Linked DNA regions of Canis lupus familiaris. Each later gene encodes a partner of the first gene's protein in a complex. Links are inferred from orthologs where the notes say so. Each region holds a gene or a part of one and is shown in the gene's direction. Other genes may lie near its edges.

Region 1 (4,300 bases):
AAATGACAACCAACAGCAGCCCCACATTCAGCACATCCTCATCACGATGTCTAAGAGGAAAGCAAGAACGCTAAGCTACTCCTCAGGCCGAGACTTTCTTGTTTGGGGAAAATAGGTGGGCTGTTGAGATGTGACCAGCGCAGTGTGTCCTGAGCCCCTTATAGGTGCTGGGAAAATCCACGGCTGGCGATAGAAATCTTAGGAAGTAGATGGCCATGGCCTACAGGCCACACTGAACACAGGAACAGAAAAACAACCCAACCACTCCCACTCTAGGGCTGACCCCCACGGTTATCTACAAAGGGTTAACTCATTCCTGCTGGAAGGGGAGTTAAGATCAGACAATGTTACAGATGTTTCTTTTAAGAGCTTTCCCCTTGCACTTGCCTCAGCTGCTCCAGGAGCTGCTTTATGTATGGTCATGGGAGGAGGAGGAGGAGGAACTGGCAGCCTCTTCCCCGCCCCCACGGTTTCCGTGCAGAAGGGTCAGGTTCTGCGATGCTTCCAGCAGCTCTCGGGAATAAAACCATCCCAAGGCCGCTTGGGCACCCAGGCAGGATTCTTTCCGCCTCCCCCGCACCTCACCTCTGGAGAAGAGGTCCTGGCCCTCGAAGTGGATAGAAGGGCACTGGTCAGCCTCAAGAGGTAAGCGTAGCAAGCTGTGCTAACGACTGGGTTTGGCCTTCTCTTCGCCCTTGGCTCCGTGGCCCTGCCCTCAGCCCACTGCTCGGAGGGCCGCAGCCTAGTGGCGCCAATTCGCACTCGGTAAACGGCGGGTTTGCTGGCGCGGGTTTCTCCGCCTCAACCCTGCTGAGCCTCGCCTTTTGCATGGACAGCCCTTGGTCATCGCGGCCTTTCCAGGGACCGCAGCAGGTGATACCTGAATGCGGAGGATCCCTGCTTTGTGGGGCGTGGGCGCTGGACAGGGCTGAGGGAGCGGCGTGCTTAGATCCTCTTCACCGTCGACCCCGGACCAGTCGGGGGATGCTACGTAAAGAGGCCGCTGGTCAAGAGTCGGGAGCCCGGCGCCCACAGGCACTGCCACTCCTGTTCCACGCAGCGCGGGCCCCCGCGCCGGAAGCGGGAAGCCTAGGGCCGGCAGGAGCGAACCAGGCCCGCTCTCGCGATGGCCCCCATCTCCGCGCAGCCCGGCCCCAAGGCCGCGCGGTGGCGCCAGAGCTCAATGCCGGGCCGCGATCGCCCGCCGGCCTCCCGGCCCCTGCCCCGCCCCCGGGGGTCACGTGATGGGGGCGGCGCAGTCCGATGACGCACACCCGGCGTAGCTCTCGCCCCGCCCGCCGCGGGGTCACGTGACAGTCCGGCGCTGCCTGATAACGCGACGCCCAGCCCCTGGGCGCCGCTCCCGCCCCGCCCCGCCGCCACCGCCGCGCCGAGTCCTTTTGTCCAAGATGGCGGCGCCGGGGGCGCTGCCTCCTCGGCCGCCGCCGCCGCCGCTGTGAGGGGCCTGCGGGCCGCCCGCCCGCCCGCCGCGCCGGCGCCATGAAGAGGCAGAGCGAGCGAGACTCGAGCCCGAGCGGGCGCGGCTCGTCATCGTCGGCCAAGCGGCCGCGGGAGCGCGAACGGGAGGCGGAGGCGGGCGGGCGGCGGGCGGCGCACAAGGCCTCGGGCGGCGCCAAGCATCCCGTTCCAACGCGGGCCCGCGACAAACCCCGCGGTAGCGGGGGCGGCGGGGGTGGGCATCGCGACGGCCGCGGCGCCGGGGACGCGAATCACCGTGCGAGCAGCGGCCGCTCCTCGGGCTCGGGCGCTGGCGGCGGGGGACGCGGTGGCAAGGCCTCCGGGGACCCAGGCGCTTCAGGTGCATCACCTCGCGCGTCTCCGCTGCCGCCACCTCCGCCACCGCCCGGGGCCGAGCCCGCGGGGCCCGGCTCATCGGCGGCCGCACCCGAGTACAAGACGCTGCTCATCAGCAGCCTGAGCCCCGCGCTGCCCGCCGAGCACCTCGAGGACCGACTCTTCCACCAGTTCAAGCGCTTTGGCGAGATCAGCCTGCGCCTGTCGCACACGCCAGAGCTGGGCCGCGTGGCCTACGTGAACTTCCGGCACCCGCAGGACGCACGCGAGGCCCGCCAGCACGCCCTGGCCCGCCAGCTGCTGCTCTACGACCGGCCGCTCAAGGTGGAGCCGGTGTACCTGCGTGGCGGCGGCGGCGGCGGCGGCGGCGGCGGCGGCGGCGGCGGCGGGAGCAGCCGGCGAAGCAGCAGCAGCAGTGCTGCCGCCTCCACGCCGCCCCCAGGGCCGCCCGCGCCCGCCGACCCGCTCGGTTACCTGCCGCTGCACGGCGGCTACCAGTACAAGCAGCGCTCTCTGTCCCCAGTGGCCGCCCCTCCGCTACGGGAGCCCCGCGCCCGCCACGCCGCGGCGGCCTTTGCCCTGGATGCTGCCGCCGCCGCCGCAGTAGGACTGTCCCGGGAGCGGGCCCTGGACTACTACGGTCTGTACGACGACCGCGGGCGCCCATACGGCTACCCCGCCGTGTGCGAGGAGGACCTGATGCCTGAGGACGACCAGCGGGCCACGCGCAACCTCTTCATCGGGAACCTGGACCACAGCGTGTCCGAGGTGGAGTTGCGGCGGGCCTTTGAGAAGTACGGCATCATTGAGGAGGTGGTCATCAAGAGACCTGCCCGTGGCCAGGGTGGTGCGTATGCCTTCCTCAAGTTCCAGAATCTAGACATGGCCCACAGGGCCAAGGTGGCCATGTCGGGCCGGGTGATTGGCCGAAACCCCATTAAGATAGGCTATGGCAAGGCCAACCCCACCACTCGCCTCTGGGTGGGCGGCCTGGGACCTAACACCTCACTGGCCGCTCTGGCCCGGGAGTTTGACCGCTTCGGGAGCATTCGGACCATTGATCACGTCAAGGGAGATAGTTTTGCTTACATCCAGTATGAGAGCTTGGATGCAGCTCAGGCCGCCTGCGCAAAAATGAGGGGCTTTCCCTTGGGTGGTCCAGACCGAAGGCTGCGTGTGGATTTTGCCAAAGCAGAGGAGACCCGGTATCCCCAGCAGTACCAGCCCTCACCCCTCCCTGTGCATTATGAGCTGCTCCCAGATGGATATACCCGGCATCGAAGCCTGGATGCAGACCTCCGGGTGCGGGATAGGACCCCCCCACACCTCCTGTACTCAGACCGGGACCGGACCTTTTTGGAAGGGGACTGGACCAGCCCTAGTAAAAGCTCTGACCGCCGAAACAGCCTGGAGGGCTACAGCCGCTCAGTGCGCAGCCGGAGTGGGGAGCGCTGGGGAGATGGGGACCGGGGCCTGCCCAAGCCCTGGGAGGAGAGGCGGAAGCGGAGGAGCCTCTCCAGTGACCGCGGGAGGACAACCCACTCCCCTTACGAGGAGAGGAGCAGGACCAAGGGTGGTGGGCCACAGGTGGACCGGGGCTCTGACCGCACTCCTGAGCGCAGCCGTAAGGAGAATCACTCCAGTGATGGGACCAAGGAGTCGAGCAGCAACTCCCTCAGCAACAGCAGACACGGGGCTGAGGAGCGGAGCCACCACCACCACCACGAGGCTCCAGACTCTTCCCATGGGAAGAAGACCCGAGAGAGCGAGCGCAATCATCGGACCGCTGAGGCTGAACCCAAGCCTCTGGAAGAGCCAAAACACGAGACCAAAAAGCTCAAGAATCTTTCCGAGTATGCCCAGACACTGCAGCTGGGTTGGAATGGGCTCCTAGTGTTGAAAAACAGCTGCTTCCCAACATCTATGCACATCCTAGAGGGGGACCAAGGGGTTATCACGGGCCTCCTCAAAGACCACACTTCCGGGAGCAAGCTGACCCAGCTGAAGATTGCCCAGCGTCTGCGGCTGGACCAGCCCAAGCTCGATGAGGTCACGCGGCGCATCAAGCAGGGGAGCCCCAATGGCTATGCGGTGCTCCTAGCCACCCAGGCGACCCCCAGCGGGCCTGGCACTGAGGGGATGCCCACGGTGGAGCCAGGCCTACAGAGGCGGCTTCTCAGGAACCTGGTCTCCTACTTGAAACAGAAGCAGGCCGCAGGGGTGATCAGCCTGCCGGTGGGTGGGTCCAAGGGCAGAGACAGCACAGGCATGCTCTACGCCTTCCCGCCCTGCGACTTTTCACAGCAGTACCTCCAGTCAGCACTGAGGACATTGGGCAAGCTAGAGGAGGAACACATGGTGATAGTTATAGTAAGAGACACTGCCTAGCCCAGACCTGGCTCCAGCTCCGCGTTTGTGTCACAAAAGCAGTTCTTTTAAAATCCGACCACCACCCTTCCCCACATCCTACCCCTTGGTTTGAATT
Region 2 (4,023 bases), on another chromosome or scaffold:
CCTGTGTCTCTGCCTCTCGCTCTCTCTAAATGAATAAATAAATAAATCTTCAAAAAAAATTGTATTTATTGAGAAAAAAATTCCACATATAAGTGGGCCCCTGCAGTTCAAACACGTCATTCTTTTTTTTTTTTTTTTTAAGTTTATTAATGAGAGACCCACACAAAGAGAGAGGCAGAGACACAGGCAGAGGGAGAAGCAGGCTCCCTGCAGGGAGCCCGACGCGGGACTCGATCCCGGGACCCCGGGGTCACGTCCTGGGCTGAAGGCAGGTGCTAAACCGCTGAGCCACGGGGGCTGCCTTTTTTTTTTTTTTTTTTTAATTTTTATTTATTTATGATAGTCACAGAGGGAGAGAGAGAGAGAGGCAGAGACACAGGCAGAGGGAGAAGCAGGCTCCATGCACCGGGAGCCCGATGTGGGATTCGATCCCAGGTCTCCAGGATCGCGCCCTAGGCCAAAGGCAGGCACCAAACCGCTGCGCCACCTAGGGATCCTTTTTTTTTTTTTTTTTTTTTTTTTTTTTAATAACGCATGTCATTCAAGGGCCAACTGTAGACATTTGACAAATCAGGGGCTCCCAAAGCTTGCATTCACAAGGCTCCATTAAAAACAACCAGGGCACCCGCTGGCTCAGTGAGTGGAGCATGTGACTCTTGACCTCGGAGTTGGAGGTTTGAGCCCCACTCTGGGTGTAGAGATTGCTTAAAATAAAATCTTTGGAAAAAATAAAAAAATAAAAATAAAATAAAATCTTTGGGCAGCCCGGGGGGCTCAGCGGTGGCGTGTCTGCCTTGGGCCCAGGGCATGACCCCAGAGACCCGGGGTCGAGTCCCGCGTCGGGCTCCCTGCATGGAGCCTGCTTCTTCCTCTGCCTGTGTCTCTGCCTCTCTCTGTGTGTCTCTCATGAATAAATAAGTAAAATCTTAAAAAAATAAAATAAAATCTGAGAAAAAATAATGCAGATGTGTGCTGCCCGGGCTGCTCTACCGGAGCTGCCTGAATGCCTCAGCCCCTCAGATGCAACATGGCCGCGCGCCTGTATAAGCAACATGGCGGCGCTGCCAGGCACGGACATGGCAACCACAGCTTCGCGGCGCCCGGAAGACGCAGAGAGCGCCCCTAGAAAGTATTTCCGCCCTGCTGCCAATACCTCAGGTGTCTCTGCATTCTCCTCCCCAGCGGGCGGGAAACGGAAGGTGAGTGCCGGGCGAGCGCGTGGCCCCGGCCGTTTCCGGCGAGCCCGGGGGCGTCGGCGCGCGGCCGCCACGATTCCCGCGGCCGCCCCGGGAGGCGCTAGCCCGCGCGCCGGATTCGAGGCGCCTTCGGCCGAAAGACGAGGATGTCGGACACGTGGAGCTCGATCCAGGCCCACAAGAAGCAGCTGGACTCGCTGCGAGAGAGGCTGCAGCGGAGGCGGAAGCAGGACTCGGGGCACCTGGGTGAGGCGCGGGGCGTGGGCCGGCGCGGGGCGGGGGCGGGGGCGAGGGCGGGGGCAGGGGCCCGGAGCGAGAGAGCCCTCGGCCGCGGCGCTCCCCGCGGCCTTCACGCCCGCGGGGTCGCTGCGCGGGGTCGCTGCGCGGGGGCGGTACTCGGCCCCCGGGCCCCCAGGCCGCCGTGCGTCGCCTGTGCCGCGCCTCTCGCGCCCGCCCCCCGGAGCAGGAAGGCCCCCGTTGTCTTCTGCTGTGGCGCCTCGTTCTCCCCCGGGAGGGCGACGGCTTGCGGCGGCCGCCGCCTGGCCCCTGTGGGCGCCGTGAGGTGAGGACGGCTCGGGCCGCAGACCTGCCGGGGCCTGGGGTCCCCGCGCTGCCCCGGCCGTTTGCATCTCGAGCAGAAACCTGAAAATGGATGTTTATGGGTTTTGTTTTTAAAGATTTTATTCGTTTATCTACGAGAGACACAGAGAGAGAGGCGGAGATGCGGGCAGAGGGAGAAGCAGGCTCCCTGTGGGGAGCCCGACGGGGGACTCGATCCCGCGACCCGGGGTCACGACCTGGGCTGAAGGCAGATGCCCAACCGCTGGGCCACCAGGGCTGCCCTATGTTTTATGTTTTTATTTATTATTATTGTGATTTTTTAAAAGATTTTATTTATTTATTCCTGAGAGACACACACAGGCAGAGGGAGAAGCAGGCTTCACGCAGGGAGCCGCACGGAGCCGGACGCGGGACTCCATCCCAGGACCCTGGGTCACGACCTGGGCTGAAGGCAGATGCCCAACCATTGGGCCACCAGGGCTGCCCTATGTTTTATGTTTTTATTTATTATTATTATGATTTTTAAAAGATTCTATTTATTTATTCCTGAGAGACACATACACAGGCAGAGACACAGGCAGAGGGAGAAGCAGGCTCCACGCAGGCAGCCCAACGCGGGACTCCATCCCAGGACCCCGGGTCAGGCCCTGAGCCCAAGGCAGGTGCTCTACCGCTGAGCCACCCCAGCGCCACAGTGTTTCTCCTGTTTTTAAACTTTTCCTGCCCTCCTCTTGCCACTTGTCATCCTAAAACTTGAAGGAGCCTCAAAAGATTGTGCAGTTGCAGCCGCCTCTCTCCCCAGCACAAGCTCTGGATCATTTAAGGCAAATCAGCCAGGAGGCTGAGCAAGGAGAGCGAATCCCTGCCACCCTGTGGCAATGTGTCCCAGGCTGCAGTAGGATGCAGTCCCCCCACTACATCGGGCCTTGCTCCCTCTCGGTGCGTGTGCTTGCGTTATGGCCGCTGAAAATAGGTGTCTTGTCAGGACTCTGACATCATAATAGACAAACATGTCTTGAGTATTTGCACTGTGGGCATATGTGTAGATAGACAAAGTTAGACACATCCTTCCTGCTCTCGGAATCAGAATTTAGTTGGGGATCAAGGATTGATGCTTATAAAAATTCAGAATGACGCTATGATAATATGTAAAATGACTGGATGAATCCACGAACTGCAGACAGGGAAGGGAAAAGTGTGTCTTTCATGAATAAATAAATCTCCAAAAAACAAAACAAAAAAAAAGCCAAACTAAGGAAGGTCTCCCAATGATTTTTTTTGTCCATGGTATTTGTAGTCATTAATGATCTGAATACATTCTATTTTATTTATTTTTTTAAAGACTTATTTATTTACTTATTTATGATAGACATAGAGAGAGAGGCAGAGACACAGGAGGAGGGAGAAGCAGGCTCCATGCAGGGAGCCCGATGCAGGACTTGATCCTGGGACTCCAAGATCATGTCCTGGGCCAAAGGCAGGCACCAAACCGCTGAGCCACCCAGGGATCCCCACCTTTGGTTATATCTTACATGAAATCTTGATTAATAAACCAGCAGAGTGTGTCTCATGTTTTCCTAAGAATCCTAATGCTCAAAGATACAGATTCTTTGGAGGGTGCCTGTGTGGCTCAGGATCCCAGGACCTGAGCCACACATCAGGCTCCCTGCTTAGCAAGGAGTCAACTTCTTCCTCTGCCCAACCCCAGCTCATGCTCTTTCTCTCTGTGACTCAAAGAAATAGATTCTTGGGAATAACCAAATTGATTAGAAGGAAGAACAGGGGCCGCCCGGGTGGCTCAGTGATTTAGCATCTCCTTTTGGCTCAGGTCATGATCCCAGGGTCCTGGGATCAAGTTCCGCATCAGGTCCCCGCATGGAGCCTCCTTCTCCGTCTGCCTGTGCCTCTGCCTCTCTCCGTGTGTCTCTCATGAATAAATAAATAAAGTCTTTAAAAAGAAAGGAAGGAAGGAAGGAAGGAAGGAAGAAGAGGAAGTAAGGAAGTAATGGAGGCCGGCCGCACATATTCCCCCCCCTCCGACTCCCTCACCTCCTACACCACTCCCCCCTCCTCCTCCCCGTCCCTCCCTCACGCCCTCCCTCCTCCTCCCTCGCCCGCACCTCCCTCCCGCCCTCCCTCCCTCCCTCCCCCTCCCCTCCCTCCCTCCCTCCCCCCACTCCCTCCCTCCAGAAAGAACGAACAGTGATAGGCTAGTTTATATCGTGTGTTTTATCCCTATTCCCACAGTACCAAACAGGCCAGCAAA
Region 3 (3,064 bases), on another chromosome or scaffold:
CTTCAGCGAGCTCAGGAGCGTGCGGTGATGGTTTGTTCTGTCATTGGAGAGAACACTAGTTGGCTGACGGCAGGGACTGCCAAAGAGACCTGCTTTAAGCAGGGGACACCTTTTAAAGATTGCTCTCGTTTCTAAGGTTCGTTGAGTCTGAAAAACATTTCTTAAATTTGTTTTTAAATAGAAGTTAAAGAGAAGTTACCTTGCCTGTCTGTCCTACTGTCAACCAGTAACATACGTCTTTTACGTTTTGTTTTTGTTTTCTTCAAATCAGGGCACCGTAAAACAAGCTTATACGAATGCCCCAGTGGTGGACAACGAGTTGCTGCGATTGAGTCTTCGGTTATTTAAGAAGAAAACTACTTGTCACGCCCCAGGGCACGAGAAGGCTGATGATAATAAGCTCCCACAGCCCAGTGTCCAACAGGAACTGTGTGTGTCTTAGGACCGGAGTCCAGTGACATTTTTGGTTCTGTGTTCCTTCAGAGTTACATACTCTTTTTTTCAGAGTTCTTTGGTTTTGATGGCAAACATCATTCATGACAAAGACAGAAAAGATTTATCAGCCGTGGTAAAAGGGTGAAGAACAACTTTGATATGAAGTTTAAAGACACTAGTTTTGGCTAACTTACGATTTTACATAAATTTTTACACAGTACTTGATATTCATGTGAAATAATGTGAAAACATCTAGATTCAGCAGTTTATCTTTTGTTAAAACTGAAGACTTTGGAAAACAGTTGCCACTGCTCTTGCAACCTACGAATATTTTTTATGAAATGGAGCCACTGATAGGTTTTGGATCATCCCAGCAGAAACTGATTTTATTCAGAAACCATGTGTTCGCAGAATGAATACACACACTACAGCTTTGTGCTGTACGGAACTCTTGAAAGTGGATGCTGGTCCTGCATGCTGTCTGTGTTCGTGGGCAGACCTCCAGTAGGAGGGAGCCAAAGTCCTTTTCTGCTTTTCTAAAGTTCTAAAAAAAAAAATTACTAATGGATCTTTGTTTTTTTAAAAATATATGTGTATTGTTACAATGTATATTGGACGTATTTGGATTCCATATGGTTTTGTTTGTTACCAGAGACTGTCTACTGTTTTTATTTTTAATAAATGTACCTTTCCTTTCCTTGTTCTAGATTCACTTTGCTCTTCATTGATCTTATTCCTGATGTTCTGAAACATTTGTCATCAACATTATGTTTCATACTTCAAATATTATACTGCTCGATAATGCAATAGGAGTTGAGGATATATTTTAAATACAGCTCAGTAATACTTGAAACAAACCGGGAGTTAACAAACCTTTGTCATCTGAGCTTTAAAATCCATAACCGTCATATTTTTCAGAGCTATAACCTTTGATTACATTGAACTGTCTAGCTTATAAAATGTAAAATGAAATTTTTTTTTAAAAAATTACGGTATTTGTTTTATTCTGTGAGTATATATGTAACTCATAAGTGGACTTTTAGAAGGATTTAAAATGGACTCCAGGCTGCAGAATTTGTGGACAGACAGAGGTAATAATAAAGGAAACCAATCAAAATTAATTTTTTCCCCCATTGGCTCTCTCAGGTTTTGTTAAAACTGTAATCCTGTGTTACCTGTGTCAGTAGTTTTATATCCTCTAAAGGTAACAGTGTTACTGCTGTAAAATTTCTGCTCAAGAAACATTCACTGTATATGTAATTTATATCCGATAACTGACCCAGCACAGGAAATGGTCACATTTTCAAATGACTTTGAAAGCATGTATGATATGAGACAATGGCAAGCAGGGGTGGGGAGTGTAACCAGATTTTCCTGGTGTCTGTTTCTTTTTCCAATTGGTAGATATTTTAAATAATTAAAAAAAAAGTCTTTAACGACCCTGAAGAATAAATATCCTTTTAAAAACTACTTCCTAATCACGCTAGATAATATTCACTGCAGCACAAGCATTTAAAGTCTTAGAACTTCTAATCCTATTTCCCAGAATTGTGGAACAAAAATAATGGTTTTTCCTGTGTTGTCAGCTGACCTTAGGAATCTTTCACAAGATGTGTATTTACAGAATGAAAACGATTGAAAACGATGTACTTAAATTTGCCATATAGTCAAATTTGTTGCCTTTTCAGGTTTGAGTTTCTTTTTTGTTACGTCATCGTGAAAGAAGAGCTATGGGGAGCTAATCCTCTGAACACTGAGTCACAATATTCAGATATTCAGAGCTTAATGTTCCCAGTAGGAACATAGTGTTGTCAGGTTTCCTATTTTTTTTAATCCAAACATTCTATGTATTGCTAATCATAGACCCTTAAAATTCATTAAAGCAAATCTTAGTGAGTTTTCCATAAAAGCTCTCAGGCCATAATTAAAGTCTCAATGAAATCAATATTCCTGAAAACATCTGCTGGTCTAGAAGTTATTTGCTAGTACAGTTGAAGGTGTGTTGCCTCATAACTGACAGATCAAGTTTGTCCATTTCCCGTAACTGCACAACTGGACTCCAGCTGCTGGTAATAAAAGGGTTGGCAAGAATATGTCTGCAATCCCAAATAAATGCGTGTTTACATGGACCACTGAGTCACTTGTTGGATTTGTTTGGCAGCTGTCCTCACCATTTGGTTTGTATTAACCGACAATAGATAACTTTTTTATTTTACAAAAATTAGGGTATAGTTACATAACTTGGAACTTGATCTGCTGAAAAATCTAATGTGTCGCTTCTCTTGATCCTGTTCTGTAACTGCAGGCTCTCTTCCTCATCCTGCCCTGTGGCCACAATAGGATTCTGTGACTTGACTTCATTAACTTGAAGTTTTGTGCCATTAGCAGAATATCCCACATTATGTGTTACTGTTCACTTGGGTAAAGATTAGGGTTTATGTTATGTGTATGGTCAGTGATGCTTTCGAGTCTCAGAAGAGCCAGCAGCTGAGCCTCAACGCATTTTAAAAGATACGTGGTTTCCACTTCAAGATGGTAATAAAAGGCAGATCCTGAACTCAACCTCCTCCCACAGACACACCAAATCTGCAGCTACATACAGAACAATTTTTCTCTGAAAAACAAAAAC
Region 4 (3,938 bases), on another chromosome or scaffold:
TGCAGATGAGAAAAAGAAAAAAAAAAAAACTCTCCTCTTTGAGATAACAGGTTTTCTCTTTCTTAAAAAAAAACCTTAGTCTTCAGCCTCGCTCAGTGAACCTCCCCGCCCCACCCGCCCGTGTGTCCGGCGTGGGCGGCTTCCCCTCTTCCTCCCTCTTCCCCCCTCCCCCCTCTCCTCTCCATCCTCCCCTCTTCTCCCCATCCCTCCCCTTCTCTCCATCCTCCTCTCTCTTCCTCCCTCCCCCTGTTCTCCCCCTCCCTCCTCTTTCCCCTTATCTTCCCCCCTCCTCCCCTCTCCCTCCCTCCCCTATTCCCCCTCCTCCCTCCCCTCTCTTCCCCTCCTCTCTTCTCTTCTCCATCCTCCCCTCTTCTCCCCATCCCTCCCCTCCTTCCCCCTCCCTCCTCTTCCCCCCTGTCTTCCCTCTCCTCCCCTCTCCCTCCCTTCTTCTCCCCATCCTCCCTCCCCTCTCCCCCCTCCTCCCCCTTCTCCCGTCTCTTCTCCCTTCTCCCCTCTTCCTCCTGTCCACCCTCTCTTCCCCCTCCCCCTCCTCCCCTCTTTCCCCATTTCCCCCCTCCGCTCGTCCCTCATCTTCGCCCCTCCTCCCCTCTCCCTCCTCCATCCTCCTCTCTTCTCCCCATCCCTCCTGTCCTCCCCTCTTCCCCCCTCCTCCTCCACCCCTCTTTCCCCCATATCTTCCCCCTCCCTCCCCTTCTCCCCCTCCTCCCTCCCTTCTCTTCTCCATCCTCCCCTCTTCTCCCCATCCCTCCTGTCCTCCCCTCTCTTCCCCCTCCTCCCCTGCCCCTCACCTTCACCCCTCCTCCCTCCCCCCCTCCTCCCGTCTCTTCTCCGTCCTCCCCTCCCTCCTCCCCCCTCCCCGCAGCCCGCGGGGCACTCGGCCCGCCCCCCAGGCCGTCGCGGGCCGGCAACGCGCTAAAAGGCCAGGCTGTGGAGGCCGTGGGCCGCCGGCGACGCCGTAGCCCGTAGCCCTCCCCCCGCCCCCCGCCCCGCCCCGCCCCTCCCCTCCCCGAGCTCCCGGGCGCCCCCGGCCGCGCGGCAGAAGGCGGGGGCGGGGCTCGCCGCGGCGACGCACTTCCGGGCAGGCCGAGGCTCGCGGCGCCGGCGCGCTGGGCACCGGAAGTGCTGCGGGCTCCGCGTCTCGCGAGCCGCCGTCGCCGCGGCTGGAGCGCTGCCCCGGAAGTCCTCCCCCTGGGCCCCCGCCCGCCGCGAACATGGCGGTGGACTCGGCGATGGAGCTGCTATTTTTAGACACTTTTAAACACCCAAGCGCTGAGGTAAGGCTCCCGGACTTGACTCCGACGCCGCTTCTCGCCGCGGGGACCCTCAGGGGGCCGTGGGGCGCGCCGCGACTCCTCGCCCCGCCGGCTGCCGCTTGGGCTCCCCACAGACGCGGCGCCCTCCCCGCCCCCCGCCCGCCTGGGTGTGGGCACCACGTCTGAGGCCGGGCGGCGGGAGCCCCCCCGTTGCGCGGGGTCGGGGCGCGGTGGCCGCTCAGCCCGCCTGGCCCCTTTGTGGGAGCGCCGTGGGCCGCGGCAGCCCGGCGGGGGCTCGGACGGCTTGGGGCTTGACAGCGCCGGGGGCGGAGCGGGGGGCGCCCCCCTCAGCGGTGCGCTCGGGGCTGCGCCGCCCGCCCGCCCGCCCGCCTCACCTCACCTCAGCACTGGGCTCAAGAAGAGTCCGCTCGCTCGGACGGACGCCCGTGGCGTGGGGAGCGCTCGCCCTGGAGGGGCCGGAGCGGAGCGGAGCGTGGCCGCGGCTGAGGCGCGGCGGCGGCGGTGTCGCGCGGCGGTCGTCCCGGAGGGGCCGACCCCGCGACCTCTGCGCGGCATGGAGCGGCCTGTCAGCGGCCCCCGAGGGCCGGCGGGAGCGCTCACGGAGCCCGCGGCGGGACCACGGGGACCCGGGGCGCACGCGGCTCCTCCGACGTGGGCCCCGAGCGACCCTTCGGCCCTGGTCGGAGACAGTGCGGCTGCGGCCGTAACGCTGTGTGTGGCAAAATAAAAAGTTGACTGACTTTGGTTCTTCCGACCGTTTCCTGTGTAAAAATCGAGACCCCCGCACGTCTTGCAAACGGTGAAATTGTTGGTCGCTTTGTTTTATGATTTTATGTATTTATTCCTGAGGGAGAGAGAGGGAGAGAGAGACACCCAGGCAGAGGGAGAAGCAGGCTCCACGCAGGGAGCCCGACGCAGGACTCGATCCCAGGACCCCGGGGTCACGCCCTGGGCCCGAGGCAGGCGCTCCCTGCGGAGCCCCCTCACCGGGCGCGCCCTGGTCTCTTCATTTTGTCCCCTGGTCTTGGTCCACGGCCGTCCTCTGCGGCCGCACGCCAGCGGGGCTCCCGAAACCCCCTGGAGTTAGCAGTTGGATCAGAACAAACCCGTCATGTGTACAGGCAGAACCATTAAAAGTGAAAGAAGCATATGAGAAGTCAGCGGCTTTCTAGTTTCGGGAAATCAGTGTTGGTTCACTCCTGCGTGTACGGGTCGAGCGTGGCTCCGCTGGTTCTTAGACAAACAGCGAGGACCAGGAGACGGCCGGTTCTGGCAGTGATTGAGGGAGGCTCGGTAGAGCTCACGGTTGAACCGAGTCCTGAGGGAAGGCCGAGGGCTTGTGGGGGGTGTGGAATGTCGAGCTGTTTGTTCCCACGGAGTTATAACTAAGTGTTGGAGGTTGGGGCCACAAAATTAGGGTCCGGGTTAGAATGTGGTCAGTGCATATAGAAGCAGTGGGAAGCCCTTGGAGTTTATCACCTCTCTCTCTCTCTTTTTTTTAAGATTTTATGTATTTATTCACGAGAGTCACAGAGAGAGGCAGCGACACAGGCAGAGGGAGAAGCAGGCTCCACGCAGGGAGCCCAGTGTGGGACTCATCCCAGGTCTCCAGGATCAGGCCCCGGGCCCGGTGGCGCTAAACCACGGAGCCACCCAGGCTGCTGTCTCTTTTTTTTTTTTTATTTTTTATTTATTATTTTTATTTTTTAAAGATTTTGTTATTCACAGAGAGAGGCAGAGACACAGGCAGAGGGAGAAGCAAGCTCCATACAAGAAGCCTGACGTCTTCCATCCTGGGTCTCCAGGATCACACCCGGCTGCAGGTGGTGCTAATACGCTGCGTCACCAGGGCTGCCCTCCTCTCTTTTTTTAAAAAAGTAAGCTCCACACCCACTGTGGGGCTCGAACTCCTGACTCCGAGTTCAAGAGTTGCACGTTCCACCTGCTAAGCCAGCCAGGTGCCTCAGGGTTTATAATCTGTGTGTGTCTGACATTAGGACCCCAGTCAATATTTATTTAGCTCCTTTAGGTGCTACCAACAAAGGCTATGTAATTTCAGTGGAGGGAGAGATGACTCTTCATTTGAGAATATCAGGAAAGACATCATCAAAGTAGTTGTCATGTGAAGTTGGATCTTTGGTGGAAGAGGAAATGTCCCACAATTGTGTATAAGAAAGCAGGGCATTGTCCTGGAGTAGCCAGTCCTCTGTGGAGTATTCCAAAAGTCCTAGAGTGAAGTGGCAGCTGATGGGCAGTTTGAAGCCACATCATGGAGTTCCCTGAATGCTCAGCAAAGGAAATGGACTTTATTTTGTAGGAAATAGTTTCTGAGCAAGCAAATTAAATGACTAGTAAAATACATTAAGTCAATTAATTGATCAGTAATGCCTAAAATGGTTCAGAAAAATTACAGGTGGCAAATCAAGAAGAAAAAGTGAGATGTAATGGAAGTTCCAGGTTAGTGGGTAGGCAGTTATCATTGCCAGCATTTATTGAATGCTTATTTTGTGCAAGGTGTAGTGCAGTATATTGAAATACACTATCTTTAATCCTTTCAAGAATTCTGAAAGATTTTTATCCCCAATTTATAGATGAGACTGAGTGTGAGAGGTTACGTGACTTTCCTAAAGTGACATAGCTGGA

What was found. The genes of interacting proteins can lie anywhere in the genome.
Region 2: RBM15B (region 1) and METTL3 share a complex: the UniProt entries of both Homo sapiens proteins name them as parts of the WMM complex. The link is inferred for Canis lupus familiaris from reciprocal best matches to the Homo sapiens genes RBM15B and METTL3.
Region 3: RBM15B (region 1) and ZC3H13 share a complex: the UniProt entries of both Homo sapiens proteins name them as parts of the WMM complex. The link is inferred for Canis lupus familiaris from reciprocal best matches to the Homo sapiens genes RBM15B and ZC3H13.
Region 4: RBM15B (region 1) and VIRMA share a complex: the UniProt entries of both Homo sapiens proteins name them as parts of the WMM complex. The link is inferred for Canis lupus familiaris from reciprocal best matches to the Homo sapiens genes RBM15B and VIRMA.

The regions. Positions count from the first base shown.
Region 1 is NC_049241.1:38,597,518-38,601,817, reverse strand, and holds the start of RBM15B (putative RNA-binding protein 15B), read left to right. Parts: upstream 1-1,500; coding exon 1,501-4,203; 3' UTR 4,204-4,300. UniProt on the Homo sapiens protein: RNA-binding protein that acts as a key regulator of N6-methyladenosine (m6A) methylation of RNAs, thereby regulating different processes, such as alternative splicing of mRNAs and X chromosome inactivation mediated by Xist RNA.
Region 2 is NC_049236.1:18,669,375-18,673,397, reverse strand, and holds the start of METTL3 (N6-adenosine-methyltransferase catalytic subunit), read left to right. Parts: upstream 1-1,223; 5' UTR 1,224-1,342; coding exon 1,343-1,442; intron 1,443-4,023. UniProt on the Homo sapiens protein: The METTL3-METTL14 heterodimer forms a N6-methyltransferase complex that methylates adenosine residues at the N(6) position of some RNAs and regulates various processes such as the circadian clock, differentiation of embryonic and hematopoietic stem cells, cortical neurogenesis, response to DNA damage, differentiation of T-cells and primary miRNA processing.
Region 3 is NC_049243.1:5,183,032-5,186,095, forward strand, and holds the end of ZC3H13 (zinc finger CCCH domain-containing protein 13), read left to right. Parts: intron 1-271; coding exon 272-442; 3' UTR 443-2,564; downstream 2,565-3,064. UniProt on the Homo sapiens protein: Associated component of the WMM complex, a complex that mediates N6-methyladenosine (m6A) methylation of RNAs, a modification that plays a role in the efficiency of mRNA splicing and RNA processing.
Region 4 is NC_049250.1:39,921,639-39,925,576, reverse strand, and holds the start of VIRMA (protein virilizer homolog), read left to right. Parts: upstream 1-1,138; 5' UTR 1,139-1,232; coding exon 1,233-1,295; intron 1,296-3,938. UniProt on the Homo sapiens protein: Associated component of the WMM complex, a complex that mediates N6-methyladenosine (m6A) methylation of RNAs, a modification that plays a role in the efficiency of mRNA splicing and RNA processing.